Lytechinus pictus: one gene and its partner. The protein of the gene in region 2 interacts with the protein of the main gene of each other region in a pairwise test. Links are inferred from orthologs where the notes say so. Each region holds a gene or a part of one and is shown on either strand. Other genes may lie near its edges. The genes, in order: peptidyl-prolyl cis-trans isomerase-like 3 and pre-mRNA-splicing factor SLU7-like.

Region 1 (12,837 bases), on a different chromosome or scaffold from region 2:
AAAGTAATGTTTCTGTGAATAAAAGGCCACTTTTCTAGTACCTTTGAGATTGTCTTTATACACATTTCACAGGTTCTCGCCGTATTTTAGACATCTAAAATAAAAATGTAATATTCATTAAAGGCATCAGTTAAGATTGATTTGATTCTTAAAAGCATGAGCTGCAAGTACTAACTTATCACCTGTGTCTGTGATATGTTGTAAAAGTGAAGCCCTGCGAAAATTGCACCTGAAAATCATTATTTAGTGCTTCAAAAAGGTGAAAATAAAGTTTCTGTTGATGGTAACTCCCGTAGGAACTCCGCAGGGCAGCTTTAATTGCTGGTAAATGCCAAGCTGGTATATAACCAATTACCTAGGAAACATTTTACGTCTAGGTTAATCAGTCATAGTGGCTGACGTTATAGACGACAGATATTACTCTCTGTCTTTTTATGAAAGTGGAGACAATGATAGAGTCGGGATTGGAACTCACAACCTTGCGATTATGAGTCCAATGCTCTAACCACACGACCAGTGACAAGGGCCTTGTCTTACAAATAGTTGCAATTGTTACAATCGACCACAACTATGGAAAGCCAGCTACGTTAACATCTAAAATACATGTTTCATGATGTTTGTTTAAATATTTTCTAAATATGATGTATATTCATACATCCATCATTTTCTTGAAAATTCAGTGTGCTCCTCTTTGTTTACATAGGACATTGTGCAAATTTCCTGTAGAAAAAAATTGACACAGATGAATTTCCATATAGTTGAGGTTGATTGGATTAATCCTAACTCTTTGTAAGACGGTACCCTGAAACACCATCCAAACTTTATTCCATATACTGATATGTGGTACATTAGTCTCCACAGGGGATTAATAAAATGATGATTATTCAGTCACAGATATCTTTAAAGTGTCTGAATCTTCCTGGTTGTTGTTTTTTTTTATTTTTTATATGAACAACAGTAAATACAACACTTTTTCAAAATAATACCTTAAGAATTTTATCCAATACCTTTTAACACTACAGAATGAGACGCTATGATGCGTCATCAGCTATGGGGTTGGCATGTATTGTAACTGTCTTGATTCTACATTCTGTCAGAGGTCGGAAGTTTTTCTCGTTGATTCTTAACTTCTCAAGCTCGTCCAAAGTCTCTAGGCCATCAATGACTCTGACAAATAGAATTACAGACAAAGAAAGAATCATTATTACATATGACTTTGATACAAAATGAAAGGGGTGATGAATATTGGAAATGTTCATATTATTAGTGTATAAATTAGATATTTAACATTCAAGTATATACATATAAGAAATATTGAAAATATATCTGCATCAATCGACATACTGTAGATGATTCAAACTCACTTCTCCCAACATATTTCCTTTAGCTCCCAACATGGATAGATTTAAGAAATGTATTACTTCATATTTAATTAGTTGTGAGAACTTTCTTCTATATTTATTTCAATAATGCTTTGTAATTTGATAAATATGGGTCACTATTCATCATATCACGATGGTAATATCAGGTCCAAAAGATTATGAAAAACAAATAAATAAAATGAAAACAAAAAATCATTAAGATTTTCTTACTTTCCAATGATGGTGTATTTCATGTCAAGATGAGGCTGCTTTCCATACGTGATGAAGAATTGTGACCCAATGGTATTTGGTCCATTGTTCGCCATGGAAACGACCCCTCGTATATTATGCTGGAAGATAAAAACAAGGGACATGGAGAGATAATACGAAACAAATGGAATGCCTCTGGCAGGCTCGTCTGCATTACACGATTCAACATAGCAGCAGTGCTGACTTTGACAGCAACTAAGATGATTATTTTTATTCTTAAGAAAGGGGAGAAAATAACATTAATTTGGATAATGAAATACTAAGTTTGTGGACCTCAATGACCTTTCACATGTACCTTGACTGACAAACTTGTTATTCATGTTATACTATTTTTCATATCAAATAACAATATCTGTGTTTCATGTAGTTTGATTAGTATTTTTAAAATGTGTTAATGTTTTTTATTATTTTAGCATTCTTAAGTATTTTTTAAATAATGAATAAAATATCAATCAGAGTTAATTGATCTGAAATGACCTTTGACCTTCACCAAGTAACCTGAAATTATACTCATCTATTAAATTTCTGAAATCTGTTGATTGATCTTTACATCCAAATTTTATAAAAAATAAATTCTGGTACAGATTAAATTTTGGAAGAAATTGTCAAAAAAGGATCAACAATCAAGATACCACATGGGCAAGACCCATTTGGTCTACTACCAGTTTGGTCCAATTGCTGTTCAGTTGACACTACACTTGGCCTAATGCCTACTTATAGTCTAATTATCATCATGTCTAAAGCCCAAATGATCTAAAGTCCACTTAGTCTGCTTATTATTTTTCACTTTGTCAAATGAAAATTTGGTTCATAAACAGTTTAGCTAATCATGAGGGCAGTCTGCACCAGCCCGAGTTTTCAAATAATCACGCTATTTCTGATCCGGCAAATTATCCAGTCTCGAGATTATTTGTAATGGAGATGCGATCATCGTGATAGTTCGCTGGATTAATCTCAAGATTGCAATCCTCAGTCAACTTGGGATTATTTTCAAAATAGCGTGCTATTTTCAAATTATCCCGCTAATTCACAGGTGCAGACACATTCGAGATTAGTCATTCACGGCGTCAGACTACAATGCATCGATGCCTCGCTTGAGCACGAATTGCTCTTCTTGCACTGGAGGAGATGAGGTTTCTTGAATCTCGAGATTAATCGCGAAGAGGGCTGATCGTGCTAAAATCTCGAGATTGAGCAAACTCGGGCTGGTGCATCACAGCCTATATACACAAATTTGTGGTATACCAGGTGATTGGGGATAAGATAGATATAGTAATACTGGAATTAGACAAAATGGTAAATGGGCGAAATGGCAATTACACCAAATGGTTCTAGTAGACAAATTGGTTGTAGAGGAACTGAGATTAGACCACGTAGGATGGGACCGAACTGAAAGTAGACTAAGTGGGTGATGACCAAGTGGCAATATAGCAAATGTTCTCTGTTTGGCTATTAACTAACCTTTAAATCATCATCGAGTTCATCTTCAAGTTTCTTTCCCCAGCAGCTAGTTCCACCCTTCCCGGTTCCTGTTGGATCCCCCGTCTGTACCATGAAGCCTGGGATATTTCTAGGAAAAAAAGAAAACAAATAGCAAAATAAATATCAAGAAGTGCTCTTGCTTGGTTAGTTCGCTTTTGCAATAGTGAGAGGATGGTATGACATTGAAAATTGATTTTCCTCATAACAACAACAATGACAACAATTTTAATAATAATACTTTTACTAATAACAATAATAATAATAATACTAAATAGGTTCATTATTGCGGACTGAAATAATCGCTAGAGGGTATTCATTTGTCTCGCAATCTACTATAATAATCCAATAATAATAATGATAATAGTAATGATGATAATAATAATAAAAATGTTAGACCAACTGTCTATTAGACTAACTGGCTGTAGACCAAGTGGTAATAAGCTGATCCGGATGATGCCCTATTTGAAATGGCTGATTGAAAATTATATAAATAAAAAAACTCAGTGAAACTAATCAGAATCTCAAAGAAAGTCCCAATGCACCATTTCGGCAAAACCAGGGTGGGGGGGAGGCTTTGGACAAAAGGGTGGGCTCCCCATAACTCAACGTGATTTCATCCAACTCGGCGGTACAAGCCTTTTGAATGGCACCCATTCAAAATATTCATGTACTATATTAATGTAATATCGCAAAATTTAAGCAGTAAAACATTTTATTAGATCAAACCTCCTTATCAGGGTCCTGTTGCATAAAACTTGTGCCATAAAAAACTCTGGCAGACAAAATTGTGCCATTGACAATATCACATTGAAAAACTCTGGCAAAAAAAAATTGCCAGAGTTTTTCTTTTATGCAACAGGCGCCAGATCTGTTTTAGGGCATGCCCATTCATATATATCATAATTGACTGGAATAATGGCACATGAACTACTTGGGCATTTCCCAAAACTAAAAAACAGGCTTTAAAATTGAAAAGCGAAGGACTGCTTTAACTTTTCTGAAATATCAAGACCACATACATGTAGGTACTTTACCTGTGAAAGAGACAGTCATTGTAGTAATCGCTGGCACACAATGCTAAGAAGTTCTCACAAGTCCTGGGCACCTGATCACAAAATAACTCTATCTTGATATCACCAACATCTGTGTGGAGTGTCACCGACTAGAAAGCAAGAAAAGAGAGAGATGAATAAACATAAACGTATTCATCATGTGTTTTTGTAACAGAAATATATTCAGCAAGTTCACTGTAAGTTGAGTTTAACTAGTGTTTGGTTACATGCATATTTTTCAAATAAATTTTATTTACCTATTTTCTTTTTTGATGGGGTGGGGTTGGGCAAGGTAGGGGTTCAAATACAACTTTTAATCTAGGATATTTTTTAATAAGGGTCGACTACTAGTATTGCCTCTACTTGTAATCCCTTTGTGATATGTTGAAATTTGCTTATTTGTTATCGTAATCAGCAATAGGAATTTTCTAATGCGAGACAAATCAACTGAATCCCCATAAAAATCTTAATATCTGATAAATCTTGGAAAATGGCAGCTTCAGATTAAATATTTTAATGAAGGAGGGTAGAATATGGTTTCAAAATTTAATTTGCTTTTTTTAGGGGCAGGGGTTAATGATTATTGCCCCTCCTTACACTCATGATAGAGTTCATGAGATATGTTCAACTTGTGGCAAAATCAATCACCATGAAAAGGGAGTTAAAACAAATTACTCTTTCCTTCATTCATTCTTTCTTGTAATTAGTTTTTTCTTTCTTTTATATCCATCTTTCCTTCATTTTTGTTACATTTCTACAATACTTCCATTTTCCTTTCTTTCTCTTATCCATCACCACTTTCTTTTCTTTCTCTTTCTATCATCCTTCCTCTGTTTCCTTATCTTTCTTGCCGTTCCTTTTTTCTCATATTATTCATAACTTTCAAATGTTTATTTCCTTTCCTTCTTTCTTTTCCTTTCTTTTTCTTATAGCTCTTTATTTTGAATTTGTATTTATCTACCCCCTCTTCCACGCAAACCTCTCTCTCTCTCCCCCTCTCTCTCCCTGATTGCCCTCTGTCTGTCTGTCTCTTTCTCTCTCTCTCATTCCAACAGAACCTTATGTATGCCATGACATGTTAGTATGATCATTTTACCAATAGCTTACATGAACAAAGGTATGTCATTTACAAACGTTACGTTACACCAGAAAATTGAACAATATCAATGGTACATGTATCTCAATACATGCATATGTCCTACACTTATAGGTCAAATAAAAAACAGTAATTACAAAAACAACATCACTGTCTTCTCTGTGGTTTAATATCCATATCAATATTCCACACACATTCCACTGATTGCTATGATTGTGTACACAATAGAAAAATATATATATCATCCACTTTGCCACTTACATGTATACTACATTGAATGAAAATTCAAACAATGTTCAATAAAAGGTCAACCCTCTTTCAAAAATACCATTACACGTACATGTAGGCTTTTAATAAAATGATTAGAATATATTGTGGTAGTATTGTGTTCCTGTGTGCCATGTAACATAAAACTCTTAGTAAGCAAGTGATCATGACACAGATTTTACAACTGGGCCCCGTCTTACAAAGAGTTATAACTGATCCAATCAATCACAACTATGGATAGCCAGCAACGTCAACATCTAAAATACATGTTCCTTCAAATACATTCAAGATTTGATGTATAGTCATACATTTACTGATTTCTTGACAATTCAGTGTGCTTTATTTGTTTTTAAAGGACATTGAGCAAATTTCCTAACGAAAAAAATTATGACATCGCTGGATTTCCCTATATACATGTACTTGAGATTGATCGGATCAATCGTAACTCTTTGTAAGACGGGACCGAGGTCATATACAATGAGCAATGCAATTAATTGTATAAATCCGCCTCATGATCAGTTGCTATAATGTCAAAGGCCTGACTCACTCACCCCCCCTGACTACCTTCTGTGTAAAAGTCTCAGTAATCCATTACATTTATGCATGAATTTGGTGGCTTCACAATACGGTGCGCCATCTATCTGTTAAGCACGCTAGTACTAAAGTGAATGCATACATGCGATTATTCAGCGCTGGCCGACGCGGCTCGACCGGACATGCTATTTACTTGGGTCCAGGAGGTAGGAGAGAAATTGCCCGCATATTTCTTTGCAAAATTTAGACTGTTTTTGGTGAAATGGTGGCATTTGGTTTTCATTTTTGAAGTACTAGCACTACGCGCTGCATGGGCCTGTGCGCGATGTCGACCCCAAAGTTAGAAATTTTGCCTGTTCGCTGCAACCGATAGAAGGTGCACTATATTGTTAATCCACCGAATTAAAATGCATTAACAGCAGAATTGTCACAGAGTTACAGGGATTCCTTGATAAGGAATAAATAACACTACAAAAATCAAAGCATTAGGTGTGCTTGAATCAACCTTGAAAGTGTTATAACCTCAGTCTAATGTCCCTACAATTTTTTAGATACAAAGGATTACTGATAAAAATATCCAGTTTCATTTTTCTGCGATCAACTGAATGGATTTTACAATTTCAAAATTTAGGAAAGATTGGCATTTTTTTCAATTAAGCTCATTGAACTTCAGCATGTGCCAGTAGAGGGGGGGGCATAAATAATTGTGCTTTTCAATCATAAACCAAAAAGAGAGTAGTCAACATTTGGAATGACAAATTCTACAAAATGACCCTTTTGAATTTTAAAAATGCAATTTTCATCATTTATGCATCCTCTTGTATATTAAGAGTAGGCAGATTAATTTGATCTGCACGCGGGAATTGATCAATGATTTCAAAGACATCTCTCCCAGAATATTTCATTATGACCTCATGACTCATATCATTAAAACATGATGGTATTTTGAAAAAGGGGGGGAGCAACTTTTTTTATTGTTCATAATAACCCATTTTCAAGCTGATAAACATACAAAAAGTTGTACATTTACCACAACATTCTGTTACTTAATACTGCATATTTTTGTATTGAATATAAGCTATAATCAGAATAAATGGTCCATTACAAAATACTGATTACAAGCGAATGATAATGCAATTTGAGTGGCTGAGGTAACAACATGTCTATTATAGATTTCTACTAATGCCTGCTTTATTCTGTAGTAAAATTAATTAATTGAGCATTAATTAACTCAATAAAAATATACATTGCTTGAAAGATCTCATGTATACTGGAAGGGAATACAATTGTTTTCGAGGGTCCACTATCATCATGATAAAAAAGCATGAGATGGGGAAAAATGTTAAAATTTTGCTATTCGAGTAAATGTACATGCACATCCAACATTTGCCTGTACACATTTGGGTTCCATGTGTAATTTCCTTTTGTATACTTGACTATTATACGGTGAGAAATTAATATGAAGTTCAAAAGGCAATCACCATGTTATAAATCTATGCAAAAGTAGATGGCCTCATGATAAATAATCAGAGCCACTTGGTCTACTTTCAGTTGGTCTACTTCCAGATCATACAGTGTACTCCCTTAATATAGAGCTCTGTTGGTCATATTGCAATTTGGTCCAATTTTGGGGTCCAATTACCACTTGGCCTATACCTATTCCACAGATCATCTATTGATACAAAGCCCAATCACTAAATCCATTGATTTACTCTCAATGTAGTAGAATAGCCAATTGGCCCAATTATCACTTGGTCTACTACTTCATCCTGGTTATAACACCTATACAGGTGTTGGTCACGTTGCCCTTAGGTACATGTACATGTACAATCACCATTTAGTCTAATAGCCTTTGGTCTAACTCACATATTGTCCATTACTGCATGTACATTACATTACCAATAAAATATTTGGTCTACTGTCAATTTGGTCCAATCAGCGCATGGTCTACTACCAGTTTGGGTTATGCTCGATCATTTAACACCATGACGGCTACGTGTATAACTTTGGTCTATTTGCCGTTTGGTTTAACATCCACTTGTGCTAATAGTCAACAATAATAAAACTTCATTATCTGATACTAGTCCTTGCAATTTTTTAAGATAATGGCTATCAGATAATCTACATACACTGTCTGCAGGTTGTATACCTGGGGCCTGTCAGACTTGCGATTGATCCAATTAACCACAACTATGGAAAGCCAACAGAGTCAACATAGAAAATGCATGTTTGTTCAAAAATTTTACTAGATATGATGTATATTCATAAATTCATTAACTTTTTGACAATTTGGTGTGTTTCTCCTGTGTTTACAAAGGACATTGTGCAAATTTCCTGCAGAAAAAATTATGAAACTGATGGATTTTCATAGTTACGATTGATTGGATCAATCGTAACTATTTGAAAGACGAGGCCCAGATTGCACAAAGTATGAATGTGGTACTGACAATCTTTATCCCACTACCGTACTTGTACATGCAGCACAGTATAAGGTGGGCCAAGAAGGTAGACTAGGCATTACAGAGCACTTTTCATAAATAATCCTGTAACTGTCTACCTTTCCTTAATTCAGACACCTGAGTGTCCAGTGAATAATATCAATAATATTCCGCTTTTATATAGCGCTTAATACATCGATCCGAACGACATGTCTAAGCGCTTTACAGATTATTACCCAGTTATCGGATTCAATCAGTCATTCCCGCACACAATGTGTGCACATCCTCCACTCCCTGGGGAGTATTACAGTCAGTTACCGTTGGAGTGCACACAGTACTGGACAACCTACAATGACTTTCACATCCTACATGTACCGGGTACCCATTTAGCACCTGGGTCGAGAGTGGCAAAGTGTGGATTTATACCTTGCCAAAGAACGCTAGACCGCGGTGGGATTCGAGCACACGACCCTCTGTTTACAAAGTCAGAACCACTACACCACGGCTCTTTTAAATATATCGTAATATAAAACAACTGCATTACACTTTGAAAACACTGAACTCATACAGAAAAGCAAGATGACAAATTTTACAATTAAAGACCAAGTAACATATGATAAAATAATATGACTGTCATTTTGCTGCACACACAGATTGGGGAGACCTGAATTTTCATCCTTGATCAATACCTATTGTCAAATCATGGACCTGTCAAATCAAGGTCTTAAAATTCAATATTTATAGGGCAAGGAGGGCAAGGCCATTTTTCTATAAACTAGGGCACATATTTATGTTGCAGCAAAGATGAGAAAAGATAATAAAAAAGTGCAACAAATCTCCAAGACCAATATAAGAGGGGCACCAAGACCATTCAACAAAGTAATCACAGCCTTCAAATGGCCTTGATTTCCCAAATAGTCAGGTCCAGATTTTAAAAAATGTGCTCAGAAAAAGTGCTTTAGGCATTTTGTGTTAATGCTGATTTATCAATTGTTTTAAGGTAATTCAGGGGTGCTGAATCCAAAAATGCTGTTTGCCAAACTTGATTCCGACGTTTTTATCCTCAAATCGGCAAAAAACAAAATGGCGGCATTTTTAATGCAGTTTCCCATATTAAACGATTTTTATGGGTGATTGTATTTCAGAAATTGGGATATATGCGTTATATTTGATACCCAGGGTTGCAAACATAATGTGTCCGATTGATTCGTCAGCCATCTTTATTTACAAGATGGCTGCCATGATTCACAGCTGCTGATTGATAAATAATATGGCCAAATGATTAATCATTTTGGGGCGATGCTGGCATATTCACATTGTGATATCTTTAACATGTCCGCCATTTTTTCATTGCCTGCATAGCAGAAGCAAGACATGGACGTCACTTTTCCGACGGCGGCGATGACCATGGCGACGGTAAAGTCAACATCAAATATTAACTGAGTTTTTTAAATGTAATTACTTTTAGGGTATACAGTAGATGTCTATTTTATGAAACTTAGGCATGTTAGGATTAAACAAAGTCTATTTAGACAGGTTATAGTTACAAAAGGTCGTCAAGGTTACATGGAAATCCAACATAGCATCCAAAACGGCAGTCGTTGTACCATCAACTCCAAAAATAAAGTAAATCCTCAAAATCAAAATCTAAATCATCAAAATGCTTTCAAGGCAAATAATGAATCAGGACATGTTTACAAGATAGTCAGTGAGTTTGTCAGAGAATCCAAGATGACCTTCCAAAATGACGTCTATAATGGACGTCTGGACGTTGTATCTTTGAAATGGTCCAAATTCATATAATGTCCACCTGGTAGAAATAACTTTGGGGTCTACCGAGAATGAAATAAAACATAAAAAATTATGGTTCCAAAGGGGAAAAATTACATCGGAAAAATGTAAAGGTTTATCAGTGGTGCAGTTTGGCAAAAAAAAATGATGATGGCTTAAAAAATAGTTATTTCTTAAAAATTTTGCTGCAAAGTGCATATACTATTTACCTAGAAACATTTTTGTGTCTTTCTCATGATTTCAAGGGTCAGATAATATAGGTTAAGACGAATTACATTGATACACCGTTGTCCATTTTGTAAAGAAATTGAAGAACGCTCCAAAAATTACATTCGAATTGGCCACCATTGATACAAAAACGACAATACTTCATATCCCATCTATTGCCACTATTTTGGTGTCTCTGTTTTTAAGACTCATGAAAATTATGTTTTACAAGAGTTAGTGACATAATTAGATAGTGGTGCAACAATAAGTAAACATCCGAAAAACAAACTTTAAAAACTAAGGTACACTTTCACCTAAAAAGTTCCATAAATCACTGATAAGTATTTCAAGACACGTCATTTTGTGCTTAGGACTATCCCATGGTTTCACGATTATGGCACATCAGTCATTTTTACGCAATTTTAGAAGTCACTTTGGACTTTTTACGACGAAAAGAAAAACTGACCATCCTTTTTATTTGTCCCGATTTATTATTTTAGCCTTCAAACCACAGTAGTGTAGATTTTGTTCACCTAATTATGACTATGTTTAGGTGATGGAAGTCTTTTTAGACTCATTTTGAAAGCCATCTTTAAATAATCGGCAAAATGGACAGCTTCATACCATTCTAACTAATCCAAAAGTATTATTTAACTCTTGAAACCATAGTGTAGACACCAAAATCATATCTCCCAGATGGATTCTATATAGATTATGTCAATTTTTAAGTATCAGCAGCTATTTTACACTCCTTAATTGAAAGCCATCTTGGATTTTTAGACATACAGGACCACTGATTGCTCTTGTAACTTATCCTTATGTATGACTTGACCATTTAAACCAAGGAATAGACAACATTATCATATAACCCAGGCGGATATTAAACAAACTATGTCAGTTTTTAGGTAACAATAGCCATTTTAGACTCCAATTTTGGAAGCCTTTTTGGATTCTTGGACATGCTGGACCTCTGACTGTCCTTGTAACTTGTCCTTATTTATTACTTGACCCTTTAAACCATGGGTTAAACACCAAAATCATATACCCCAGGCTGATATTAAATAAACTATGTCAGTTTTTCGGTAAGAACGGCTTACATGTATTTGACCATTTTTGGAAGCCATTATGGATTTTTGGACTTACTGGATTCACTAAATGTCCTTGTAACTTGTCCCAATCTAGTACTTGACCCTTTAAACACGCGTTATACTAAAAAATCATATTCTCCAGTCGGTTTTTAAACAAACTATGTCGGTTTGTAATTAACGACAGACATTTTATACTCCATTTTTGCAAACCATCTTGGATTTTTGGACATGGAAGACCATAGACTGTCTTTGTTACTTGTCCCAACGTATTTCTTGACCCATTAAACCACGGGTTAGACACCATCATCATATCCCCAAGGCAGATATTAAACAAACTATGTCGGGTTTTAGGGTTTTTCAGATAACAACAGCTATTTTAGACTCCAATTTTGAAAGCCATCTTGGATTTTTGGACATAGTGGACCATTGACTGTCCTTGTAACTTATGTCGGTCTACTTCTTGACCCTTGAACATCACCAATAAATAAAACCCAAATAAAAGACACTAAAATATGTAATAGATGAATTGTGAATTTTTAGGCCATGGCAGCCATTTTTACGCAATCTTGGATTTTCAGGTACACTGGAGTGCCTATATTCACTCATTCCTTTTACCTCCTACACCATTGAATACATGTATGCACCGAAAAAGGTGTCTAGGGTAGATAAAGTGCCGGTTATTTTAATTTTCAGTTGATGGCGGCCATCTTAGGTGCCATCTTGAAAATAACCACTTTCCCGGATCCAGATTTTGGTGGATTTTTAGAATGTTATTTCTGAGATCAAATAGTAAAAAAAATCGTTGACAAACATTTTAGTTACAAGTTTTGGGGGTCAGAATAGAGCAAAAAAGGGTGTAGAATGGCGGCCATATTGTTTTTGCCAATTTGAGGATTTTAACATCAAAATCAAGGTTGGCAAACAGCAAATTTGGACTCGGCGCCCTCAAATTATGCTAAAACAATTCTCAATTCAGCATTAACACGATTTGCCTAAGGTAGTCTACTTTTCTTAAATCTGGATCTGACTAAAAGGAAATTTGGGGATATCTGAATATCACATAAGGTGGTTTCAGACCACCTTGAAGTTCGTCAGTTCCAGGTATTTTGGCAGTGTGAAAGCAAATTACGCGTAATCTCCCTGAAAGAAAATAACCACTAAATAGTACATGTAGGTACTTGTGAAAATTAAGAGAACTTTCACCGGGGGGGGGGGGGGGGGGGGGGTTCTAGGGTCGCAGGTATTTTGGCA
Region 2 (13,004 bases):
CAATTCGTCCACTGCCAACTCGTCCACTCACCACATGGTCTACCTTCATTTAGTCTAATGCCATTCCATCCATCTACATTTCGTCTAACAACTATTTGGTCCAATCATCACATTGTCTAATCACCAGTTCATCCATTACCGTTTCGTCTAATAACCAGTTGGTCTAATACCCATTTAATTTCCTTCATTTTGCACAATTAATACTTTAGTTTAATTAGACCAAATGGTATATGAACTAACTGGCTGTTGGACCAACTGGTTATTAAACGGAATGGCATTAGACTAAATGAAAGTAGACCATACGGTGAGTGGACGAACTGATGGTAGACCAAATGATAGTAGACGAGTTGGCAATTGGACAAATTGGAAATAAACCTTATATACAATACGGTAAATGTACTGCATACAGACTTTCCCTTTTATATAGCTAAGAAGTTTTTGACAGAACTTTACCTCCTCCACACCTTTCTTGTACCAGGAACTAATGGCCGACACATCTTTCTTGAATCTCTGAGGCCGCTGATGCTTGAGGGTAGGTTTGTCAAAGCCAACATACCATGGTACTGTTGCAATGTATTGTGGGATATGTGGATTGATGTCCCTAGAGAACAGGAATAAAAAAATTAATTTTTATCAGAATTATCTCGATCATTTTTACTTCTTGAGAAGCAGATTGATTTAAATATATTTTTAGGCAGAGTGTCAGATTTTAGAGCGATTAACTATTTTTTTTTTCTGCTTCAGTTTTATCTTCTTTCCCTTTTTAGCATAATTTTTATACATGTGTAAATAGTGGTCAACTAATGTGTGCTGAACTTTACTTTCTTTTCAGTGCCTTCCCCCTAATTTGGAAATCCAGTGGTGGTATTCTGAAAATTGAGAGACCGCTATGATTGTCATAACTTTGTATCCTGAAGATTGTCTTCTCTCTATCAAATCTCTCCAAGTTCCTGCCCATCGTTTCACAGACAGCCCATTCGATACTATTGTTAGTTCCCAGTGAAAGCTCTCCTAACCTATAGAAAGGCCCAGGTACACATAGGGTGTATCCTCAATACAGTAGCTGGGTGTTGCAAGACTGCATGTTAATAAAGCTTAATTATAGTTTATACAGACAAATAACTGAGAAGGATTTTTAGAAGAGTGGGAGAAAAAATGGGGAAAAGTGGAAGAAATATGTAGGACATTCCTTCTTGTAACATGAAAATTATATTTTGGGAAAGTCATGAATGATGTGTGAAATGTATACCATAATCTAATCTAAATACATATCAATTTGTGCTTGACATAGTGGGCATGGAAGGAACCAGGATAGCATGGCACTTATTATGACAAAATTTATGAATGGTGGACCCTGTCAAAAATGTTATCATCATGCGCATTTATGAATTCTAAAAAAAAAAATTGTGCTTGCTAAAAATAAGAGGAAAAAATTATAACAAGATTAATGACAAAAGTTATGACATTGACCACCAGACTACTGATTCATTCATATCTCTGAAAAAAGATACAATATTGAGAGAAGACGATGTTCAGAATACCGCCCCTGGATTTGCCCATGCTTTATACATGTATGATATTGATTTTTCAAGGTCGCATAGAGATTTTATGACATACTTTCCAGAGAGCGTAAAGTGGCAGGCAGTTTATGTTCAAAAGCTTACCAAATGAAATGGAGTATTACAGAATACCTGGGTTATGGTAACACAAAGCTCTTGGTTACATTGACAGTTATGTGCAACGATCAAGGATACAAACCAACTATATGATCAATCACCTTTTGTTTAAGGCTACTGTACTTACTTTCCCTCTTCATCAACCAAAGCAGGAGCAGTACCAGCTTTACGAGCCTCTTCTAACTCCTTGGCCTTCCTCCAGTCCTCTCGTTTGCTCCCTTGGCTCGGGGCCTCCGTCTTCTGGGACATGGCCGCCACAGAAGGCAGCGTTGTCCCTTGATAGGACATGACACTGGTCTACTGGTCAGTACTTCCTAAGTGACAAAATGTACAAAAAATAAGGATGTCAGAGAAATTGAGCGAATCATATAAAAATGGATAAAAAAAGAGCTAAAAGTTTGGAACCAGGCCAATAAATTGACTTCAGTGGGACTAATTATGTATTCATGAGGTCATATCTCCGGCCCCCATGGACCGATTCGCACCCAATTTCGGTAGTGGGGGTATTTCATCATGCTCTAGCAAAATATGGTATCAAAAATGCTGAAATGCAAAATTGGAAAATTGATGACATCACACCTTGAGCAGGAAATGTGTGTATTTAAGTTTTGTCAGACATGTATCAATCAGATATGATTATTTACGTCTGGGACCGACCTTTAATGGCACCATCCGATAGACGTGACCAGGGTTCGAACCTCTGCATCAATTTGTAACTTCCTCACGTACGTTGGATTACAGGCGCACGCCACAACGCCCAGTTTTAAGCCGATATTACGACTAGTCTAATCTCCAAGAGTACAGTGGAATTATTTTTCTGACTAAATAAATCGATGCCATTGGGAACTGCACACACCTGAACATTTGACGGAATAAGGCCATATTTTTTCATACATGTATGTACCGGTATTTAACTTTCCTTACTAAATCTCTTATAATATATAATATATATTATAATTATATGCATGTATGACTTGATAAAATCCATATTTTATTTTTCAATTTTACTGGAGTAAAGGGGGACGTACATGTATAGAAGTCTTGCCACGATGGGTGCACGGCCGCACACTGGAGCAGACAAATTTGAAGGGCAGGGCCGGGGCTGTCATCTGTCGAATCGCAAAGCATGGCGCAAAGCAAAACATAGCAATACATTTCAAGATTTTATTAAACTTTGGTCTCTGTATTTGGTGGGTGGAGCCAACGGAGTTATGCGGAACAACCAATTTAACAGAGACCGAAGCTTTTGGTCTATTGAAAAATATTGCAATTGAAAACAGACAAGTATTAGTCAACCATTATTGATGCAAATGTCATTTTGAGTTTGTGAAAAGACATTTCAGAACAAAATATATTGCAGAAATTCCAAGCTGGAAAGAGTTCCTTTTGCAACAGCCACCCAAACATAAAAATCGATCAAATAGGGTCACTAGACTGGCCAAACAAAAGAGGGTGATTTTTTTAAGGGAGTTTGGTAAATGGATTTTTTTTTTTTTTTTGGGGGGGGGGGGGTTATCATAAAAGTTAAAAAAAAATAAATATAAAAATATGATTTTTTTTACAATATCACTTTTGCTTTCTCTTCCTCTCTCTTCCCAGCCCGAAAAGCCAAGGTAAACAAAAATATGTTTCAAACATTTGTCATTCATGTCATTATGACGTTTTATTTAAATTACTTTAGAAGTTTAGTTTAAAACAAAACTTTTAATTATGGAATATGGTCACGTATAACTTAAGAAGGCATAGACCAAAAGCTTCAGTCTCTGTATTTTGGTTGCTCCGCTGAACTACGTTGGCTCACTCACCAATGGGGATGATACTAGTAAAATGTCAGGAATCAGAGTTGTCCTGACCCCAAATGTCAGAAATTCCCAGAAACGACGCCGGTTATTCCCGTCTAAACTAAAGAAGGCAAGACAGGCACTAGACCAAAAGCTTCGGTCTATGTTAATTATGTTGGTTGTTCAGCTGAACTCCGTTGGCTTCACTCACCAAATACAGAGACCGAAGTTCTAGCGCGATCTGTACAGGGGACGAATGGCCATATGTTTATGTGTATTAAGTTCGGATAAAACAGGGCAGTGAAGTTGCGCGACAGCAGAGGTAAGTCACTGTTTTTGTTCCTTTTAACTTGATTTTCCCAGTGTTTTGGCAATTAATGCCAAGAGTAGGGTGTCTGGAGAAAAAAATTATTTATCTTATTTCAAGAAAATATCACATTTTCTTTGTGAATTTGAAGAGAAATGACCTTCAGACTGACAGAAATGTAACATTTTTGAAAAAAATCCAATTATTGGCTGCAAAAAAGAAGAATGAAATTAGGTAAATTTTCAGCATTTCTCTGCCATAGACTGTGTAGTTAAGAAATGAACATACACAAATCCAAATTTTTAGCTTCCGAGAGCTGTTATAAATTTATTATTAATGCCAAAAACTTGTCCATAAAGAGTCCAATAGGATTTTTTATGCTCTATCTGATGGTATGATTTTTATAAAGATTTGGAAACCAGATCACAATGAAAAATTGCGACAAAGTGAAAAAAATTGTGCAAAACAGAAATGTCATTTTCCCATAGAAAACGCATGGAGAAATGGCAATCTCAACACACACAAAAATAAGGGTTTGCAATTTATCTCTAAATCCTTATTTAAAATGATCATATAAACTTGTCCTTACTGTCAAAAGAAGCCCCTGAATTTTCTCTTTCCATACATGCCAAACACAAGTTAATAATCAATTCAGATCACATTTTTCTAGTACTAGTAGCCTGAACTTCCCCGAAAAAATGTGCCATATTTCCCCCTAAATTAGCCTGTTTTATGCTGACACTTTTCAGTGTGGCTTCAGACACCCTACCATTACCAAGAGGGAATATTAATTTGCATTTCAGTCGCGTTAATTTTCATAAGTTTGATTCATTAAAGACAAAAATTGAAGAGCCCCGACGGGGGGATTTTGCATTGTAAGTCCCCTAATGGTGGCTGCACGATAGCGAGCCGTCTGTGTACGAGGAGAAATTAAAAAAATTAAAAAATGTTAAAAAACTCCTCGAAACAGACGGCTGCCAGCTGTCTAGACAGGCACTAGCTCATGAAAACATAAAAAATTTCCATCTTAAATAAGATGGGGGAACTGAACACGTTGGCAGGGCCAAGGGAGATTTTTAAAGGGAAAACAAAAGTATAATAAAAATAAAATTAAAGGAAAGGGGGCAGTTTTTAGTGGACCCACAATTAGACTTAGAGACATCAAATGAAAGTAGTGGGACCAGGCGCAAAATCTAGAAAAAAAAGGAAGGAATAATTTTGGCATAAATCATGAAAATAACGCAAAATTGCGAATACTAAGTTTCCCTGTGGTATATCAACCTAAAAATAGCATGTCGCTTCCGTTAAAAATTAATTTTTAACACTTACTGGCAAATATTGGATCCAAATACGCAATTCGTCGCGGACGCAGACATGACATAAATAGGGAAAGCATCATCATGCATATCGATCATGCATGGAGATCTTCATCTATAATTATGTTCATAGGTTTTGTTTATGTGTTTTAACAAATTCTAAGGGTTTTATACCCCAAAAATATATAATTTTATTTAAAATCTATACTATCTGATGGAATTAAAATTGAAAAAATAGAATATAACTTAAAATATAACAATATATTTCCTACGTCTTTAAAATCGGCTTTCAGCCTTGTAAATTGGCAACAACGTAGTTATATAAACGCTATTTTCCCCTCACTCACCGTGCGAAGCACTGTGGAAAGCCGTGATCGTCTAGAGGTTAGGACATTGCGTTGTGGCCGCAATAACCCAGGTTCGAATCCTGGTCACGGCATTTTTGCTGCAATTTTTGCATTTTGTTTGTTGCTTTCTTCCACTTTAGTGATTTTATCATGGTGATGATGACTGTGATAATAACAATAGTACTGATAATTATGATGAATATAATAATGATAGTGCTGGAACTGAAATAAATTTGACATTGTCATAACAAGCTCCAAAAAATTAAGCAAGGATGATATCTTAATAGATTTAAATACAGTAAGAAGTTTGCTAAATTTTTCCATCTTTTCTTTTCTTTAGCCAGCAAGATTGTTTAAAGTCTGAATGATAATCTGAAAAAAATGAAAAATTGATCAAAGTGTTGCTAAATTGTGTCAAATTCACTAAGCCTCATGCTAATGGCACACATGAGCACCACCCCCTTTTTTTTGGGGGGGGGGAGGGGGCAAACATATATGGAACAATTTTATTTTTCTTATAAAAAAGTTGCAAATGAGTGAAGTGAGCAAGAAAAATGTTTAATTAACCCTCTTGATATCAGAATTTTTTTTTTAAAATACATTTTGGCAATAAAATATCATATTCATACTTTTTTTTACCTTTACTAGTGCGTTCTTTTTCTCATTTGTTTGTGGGTATGCCTTGCAAGCTAACAAGTGAGGAAGAGAGATAGAGAGGGAGAGACTGAAATAAACTCGAACCGAGGGAGAATGAGAGATGGGTATCAATTAACAGTTGGCTCGTCAGTTGGACAGAATAGTGAAAATCTTATATGCATCAGATAGCCAGTACACCCTTTGTATTTTTTTCTGTGTATTTGTTTTTAGTCTAACATCTCAAATTGACAAGACATGGGTTAAACAATGTTAACTTTTGTGTGTGTGTGTGTCAATATGTTTGGCAGAGAATTATTTAACAATAATTTCAAGAAAGCATTAATAATGAGATGGAAGATTTGAATAAAAAGAGACTTGTGCCTATAACAATTTTTCTTCATCATGGAGATTTTGAACTACAAGTAAACTAGAATTTAAGTGTAAGATATTTTACCAGTACGTAGTAGGCCTACGTGAAATATACATGTTCCAACTTTTATCCATATTTTGTACATGGGTGTAGAATCAACGCCAAAAGGTTTATTGAAATTGGGTTCTAATTATTATGGAGAGATTTTGTCCTAGACCTCCTTCATTTTGGTGCGTAAACAACTAATTTGTTGGTTGTCAAGTTTTCTGAACAAAATCGCATTTGGAGCGAGTTTAAAATTTGTGTATTTATAGTAAAAACTGCTATATTTTTCACTGACCTAGAGGTTTTAATATTTCTTTGCCAGCTGTTCAGTTTACTTCTTATCTTTTTTCTCTCTTTCTTTCTTTCTTTCATTGTTCTGTTCATTGTAAGTTTGAAATGACACGATGGCTTTCATGGGTTAGTCTGCAGGGACAGACTCTGATCGAAACTTTGATCTCCACGCAAAGACTGGCTATAGCACATACAAAACTTTAATGCTGTTTCAATCCTGAGCGATCAGGGCTTCCAGTACACAAGGCGTTATAGGCTGCAAATTCAGACCCTTAACTCGAGTGAAGGGTTTGCAAAGCAGACTAGCTCTTGGCTACCATGACTTGGTTTTGAGGGTTTGTGCCTTTACTACAACACTAGCTAGTTGTAATTGAAATGGGGGGGGGGGGGGGGGTGTGTACGCGTGTAATGCTACCATTAAAGGGGGTATACTCCAGGCTGAAGATAATTATGATTTGAACAGATAAAAAAAAAATTGGGCAATCAAAATACTGAAAATTTGATCAAAATCGGACAAAGATAACAAATAAATTATGACATATGAAAGTTTTGCTTTATTCCTGTACAGTTCTAGGCACTTTTTCATGAATATTCAATAAGCAAATTGATGTCATATCCTCATTTTTTTTTTTTATTATGTGAAATGAAGGTTTCTACAATTTTTTCCTCTTAGAAGTAGTGAAATTGGATTGACAACTGGTTTATATTGCATTAGATATTGATTGCTGCAATTTATTTCATTAAGAGAGACATATCATTCAAACATGTATGAAATAATGAAACAATTATGATTCCATAAGAAAACATAACATAGGAAAAAGGAAAGTGGGAATGTGGCATCATCAGCCCACCTAATGAATATTCAAAACGACGTGCACATAACTGTTTTCGCAAAATATTGCTAAACTTTAAAATCCAATAACTTCATTATTTTTTATCAGATTTGAATACTTTCTTCTCTATTTATTTAGTTTTAAATTTTGAATAAAAGGCCCAGAGTACCCCTTTATGGAAGTTCAAGGTAATTTGAGCTTTTAAAATGTACAAGCTCACCTTGCTGCAAGACTGATGTGAAATTTAAATTGGACGTGGATGAACTAGGGGAAAGCCTTAGCTTCATAAGTCACGGGTGGGCAAAACTATTCTGGCTTTAATTTGCCTTCTTTGGTTCTTTTTTTTTTTTATCTCTCTCTTTCTTCCTTATCCCCCTATTCCTCCCTTTCCTATATCACAGCCGGCCCGTGCCCCCCCCCCCCTTTGAGAAGCAAAATTATTTTTTTTAATGTAAACATGCTGTTAAAACGGAAGTGTGCGCCCCTTTTAAAAGTGGAGACCCTTTTTTTTTGCTTATTTTTTTTCGGGGGCGAAATATCCTTAATTTTTAGTTAAAATCCTTTTTTTTTTTTTCGAGGACGAAATATTACTTCTCGGTTAAGAGCCTCTTTTTTTGCCTGTCAAATTTTCCTCGGAAATGTGCCCCCCTTTTGGAAAATCCTGGATCTGCCCCTGCCTGCCTCTCCCTTTCCATTCCCTTCATTCTCTTTCTTTCATTTTCCTGTCCATCGTCTCTCCTCTTCTTCATATTCTTGTTTTGTCCTCTCTCTTTTCTGTCTCCTCTCCCTTTCCATTCCTTCCCTTCTTTCTCTCTCTTCTCCCATGCCTTTTATTTTCCTCCACATTCAATTATAATTTTGCAGGGGAGCACTATATTGCTTTCTTTAGTCACGGAAAGGCAGAATGGGGACACGTCTCATAAGGGGGCCGGGGGTATCAAAATGTGAATGAATTGATTAAATAAATTTGTTAGCCTAGCTCTAACTACTAGAGAATTACTAGTCTGACAACAAATTGGTTTCTGCTAAAACAAAAACATTTCACTGGAAAATAATCAAACAATCACTCATTATCTCCCGTCTAGGGTCCAGAAGTTTATTTCTGTACAATTCTGTTTAATACACAATGTATTAAGAATAGATAAATAGTTCAATATTAAACAAATAAGCAAATTCAACAATATATGACAAAGTGAATCATAAGCATATCAATAATTACATGGATTACAATATTGAATTGGCCTGAAATTACTTATCTTGTTATACAGTAGTGTCAGGAACTTATCATTATAATGGAAAAAAATACAAATGTATTTCTTCTACTAGAGGGACTATTATAGTACAAATTAATCACACATTGGACCAGTGTACTGGCTAATCAATAAGATATATGATGTCTCTTTCGGTGAAATAACATCAACCCCATGAGTAGTCTATAGTGAATCATGTTGGAGGTTATTTCTGATGAGTAGTAACTCAAATAAATACTAGAAGCTGTTCAAAACAGTTTTTTGTATTTTCTTAGGGCCAAACCAAATATTGACCGGGCTTTATGCAATGTACGTGATATAGGCCACACACACACATTATTATCTAATTATTGACCATGGATTTCAGCTAAAACATCATATAAAATATAAAAATTAGTTTTCAGTAAAAAGTTAGTTTTAGATTTAGACCATATACTCTTTAGCAAAGTTATGCTACACGTAGTTTCTCAATGGTTGAACTAGTTATTTGGAAAAAAATGCAACAAATACATTCGTTTTCAGCACCCGACAACATGCAAAATAAATGCAGCACAAACAAAACCCACAGTAAATTATAAGAACATAGCAACTCGGCATCTAGTATAAACTAACAAAATTCTACAAGCTCTATTGAATATAATCATTCCTCTGTGGGCAAATTAAAGAGTCTGCAAACAGCAGACAGGAGCCAAATCAAAGTCAAGGTGAGAGCAAGAGTCTAGCTTGTCCGTAGAATAATTTATAAATATCAATAACAAAAACAAATAAAGATGAATTTGCAAACCATCTACCAAAATCGAAAAGGGATTACTTACAATGTTCAATTCAATTGATTTAATTTCAGCTCTAAATTTTTCATATTTACAATAATCATACAATTGCATAGTAGCATATAATCCTATTTTAAGTATATGAAGATTAACATAACATTAAAATAGACAATTATCAAAACAAAATATAAATTGAAAGGAAGGCAATGTTCAATTCAATTGTTTTAATTTCAGCTCTCAATTTTTCATATTTACAATAATTATACAATTGCTCAGTAGCATATAATCATATTTTCAGTATATGAAGATTAACATGATATAAAAATAGACAATTATCAAAACAAAATATAAATTGAAAGGAAGGGAGGGCCAACTGAAAAGGAGAGATTGTATAATGTAGCCCCCCCCCCGAAATTGTAATTATATGTATGTATTTAGAGAAAATGATAACAAGGATGATTCCTTATTACTTGGATAATTCAAATACAGTTCCAGGTTTGCCAAATTATTCCTTCTTTTTTTTTCTTCAACCAGCAAGATTGTTTTCAGTCTGAATGATAATCTGAAAAAAAAAATGGAAAACTTGATCAAACTTTTGCTGAATTTGGTCAAATTCATAAGCCTCATGTCAATTCTATTAAACATGTGTTAAGGTTATAAACAGTGTCAGGATGCAACGACAGTGGATCAAATAATGTTCATTACGATCCCGTTACAATCATTACGATCAATGAATATATTGCGCCAGCCCTCATTGTTTTTTTTTTTATATTTAGCAATCATATAACTATGCCGCCTAGCTTTTAAAATCAAATATATATTTGACCTCATGCTTTCTCAAAAAGGTTAGCATTTTGTCATTTAAACTTACAACTTGTTATGTCTTTCATATAGGTCTAACTATATGCCTATACATATATCATAGTTGTAAGAGATGAAAGTTTTTAAAGAACGCCCTCTATGTTTAGGTTTGGATACTAGTTCTACATCTTCTAAAGAAAGCATGGCAGGAATTTCAACATCTTGCAGCCACTATTTTTCAAAATTGTATTTGTATGTGTCAGATATCATTCAAACACATGTGTTATGATGCCAAAAATTAAACACTGACAAGAGTCAAGTGATTAAATATTTCATTCTTAGAGGATAAAGTTGGGAGAATTTTATCATCACATATCCTTATTTCAATAAAAAAAATGTGAAATGGAAATAATGTATATCTTATACTTATTCTTTTTCATTATTTTAAAGATTCACACAGGGAACATACATGTATTAAGCAAATGGAGTAAGCTTATATAAACCAATGTTAAAAGCCTCAGGTATTTTGCACATGTTCCCATTAAAATTTACATGTAAGGATAGAGGAAAAAACATGGAGAAAAATAAAAAAAGAAAAGGAACATGTTAGTTCACTGTGAAGGAAGATCTTGTTTATGGCGCAGACTTTAAGAACAGCGGGTATATGTTTGCAAGCTGTTGAACCGTAAAACTCTTATCCAAGAGTTCTTTTACAATTTCAACAAAATTTAAGAGAGGTAATAACACGATTATCCATTTTAGCAGGTCCCGATGGGATCAAGATTTTTTTAAAACTAAAGTGGCTACCCTGGGTAAAATATGACATTATCATTATCACCATAACTTGTGTCTTCACATTCAAACGTCAGCAGAGATGTCGCCTTCTTTCTTCTGGGTCCCGTTTTATAAAACTTGCTACAATACTAAGTTTACAATAACAGTTAAAAGCTACTGAAATTCTTCAATCTGATTGGCTGATAGTAAATTTGTTATAGAAATCATGTATTTCTTTTTATAACAAGTCTTTGTGAAACGGGACACTGCTAAGACAAGGTAAATTACACAAGATGGGCACCGGCTCTGTACATCTTGGATATATACCGGAGCTTCCAGAAGCCATCACAGAATTCGAGAAAGGGATGTTTGCAGCAAGGAGGTTGGGTGCCAGGGAGCTTCAACGCCACCTGCAGGGACCCATTGCAGAAAGTTTGTTGCAATCAAACCCGATTCTCGCTATCATTCACAACTTGATTTTCAACCAATCAAAAAAGTGCATTCAGGGTTTGTGCTTGATTTTTTTTTCTAAATGCAACTTGTTCTGCAACTTGTCACCGGGTCCCATTTTGTTGCAACGGATACTCAATTTCTATAACAAAATTTACTATCAGCCAATCTGATTGAAAGAATTCATTAGCCTTGTTACTGTAAATGTGTTGTTATAAAAAGTTTAATAAAACCCTGTTAAACGTAACTATGAGAAGACATCGAGACAGAAGAAATGGCAAAAGTAACAGTGGCACAAGGGGGCTGAAAAGTATATGCCGTCTCAACATAGAGAGCCAGGGATGTCAACCCATTAAAAAAAACAGTAGAAGAATCTGCCCCAGTAAGGAAAAGTTCATTCGTTGAATGCATCAGTGGAGAGCAATAAAGGTAAGGTCTGGTAAAGATGGGTTTGATGTATCTTCACAACCATAAACAGATCAAGCCTGCTTCTATTGAGCAATTCAGGAACATGTGGATCCTTTGATTCATTTTGTCAAACAGAATATTGGAAAATAACTTGGAGGAAATGGAGACTTTCAACCCAGTAACAATACTCTCATAAATAACTCAACAGGTATGAATGGAACCAATAAAAAGAACAATCACTAATCGAAGCAGTTGATCTAGGAAAACAGCAATGCCGCCCGTTTTTGCCCATAGGTTTGGTTGCATTCTGATGGTATGGCAAATGGCCATATCAGCAAGTCCAAGTTAAATAGATACACAGACATGACAAAGAATAAAAAAATTGCACCAAGGTGGAATATTAAGACAAGCCTACAATATCCTTGACTGATATTCCGTAGAGCACTTGCCATGAAACCATCACAATGATGGCAGTTTTGACAGAGTGATGACTATTCCTATGGGAGCAGACCCATCAGCTTCGTTCCATCAAGATAGAACAATGAGGACGACTAAAGCAGATCACACTCATAAGCTGAAAGAGGCACAGGGGTATATATACAAGTACTTGCTTTCTACAACTCGGGTCAGTGCCAGGATGCAATGGCAGTAGTTGAAATGATGACCAACAAACTCACAACAGCACACTAATTGTTGTAGATGTCTACGACCAAAATGATATAAAAGAATTCAAATACATGTAAGAGTTGAAGAAGGAAACCATACACTGTGAAGGCAAAACAGCATATTATCAGCCCATGGAAGTGGTTTTCTTTAAATTGGTATTAACAAAACATCATTATGTGACTTAATCTGCCAGTACATTGTCTGCAATGGTCAATATGCATTAGAATGATTTCAACACAAGATTCTACTAGCAGAAGGATCCAAGGATGGATTTGATGTATAA

The links.
Region 1: the proteins of pre-mRNA-splicing factor SLU7-like (region 2) and peptidyl-prolyl cis-trans isomerase-like 3 interact in binary tests that used the Homo sapiens proteins (3 or more experiments, as listed by UniProt). The link is inferred for Lytechinus pictus from reciprocal best matches to the Homo sapiens genes SLU7 and PPIL3.

Annotation. Positions count from the first base shown.
Region 1 is NC_087259.1:15,880,643-15,893,479, reverse strand, and holds the start of peptidyl-prolyl cis-trans isomerase-like 3, read right to left. Parts: upstream 4,769-12,837; coding exon 4,763-4,768; intron 4,276-4,762; coding exon 4,148-4,275; intron 3,202-4,147; coding exon 3,093-3,201; intron 1,712-3,092; coding exon 1,593-1,711; intron 1,168-1,592; coding exon 1,032-1,167; 3' UTR 1-1,031. UniProt on the Homo sapiens protein: PPIases accelerate the folding of proteins. It catalyzes the cis-trans isomerization of proline imidic peptide bonds in oligopeptides. May be involved in pre-mRNA splicing.
Region 2 is NC_087256.1:22,744,228-22,757,231, forward strand, and holds the start of pre-mRNA-splicing factor SLU7-like, read right to left. Parts: upstream 5,178-13,004; 5' UTR 5,094-5,177; intron 1,991-5,093; 5' UTR 1,965-1,990; coding exon 1,804-1,964; intron 602-1,803; coding exon 454-601; intron 1-453. UniProt on the Homo sapiens protein: Required for pre-mRNA splicing as component of the spliceosome. Participates in the second catalytic step of pre-mRNA splicing, when the free hydroxyl group of exon I attacks the 3'-splice site to generate spliced mRNA and the excised lariat intron.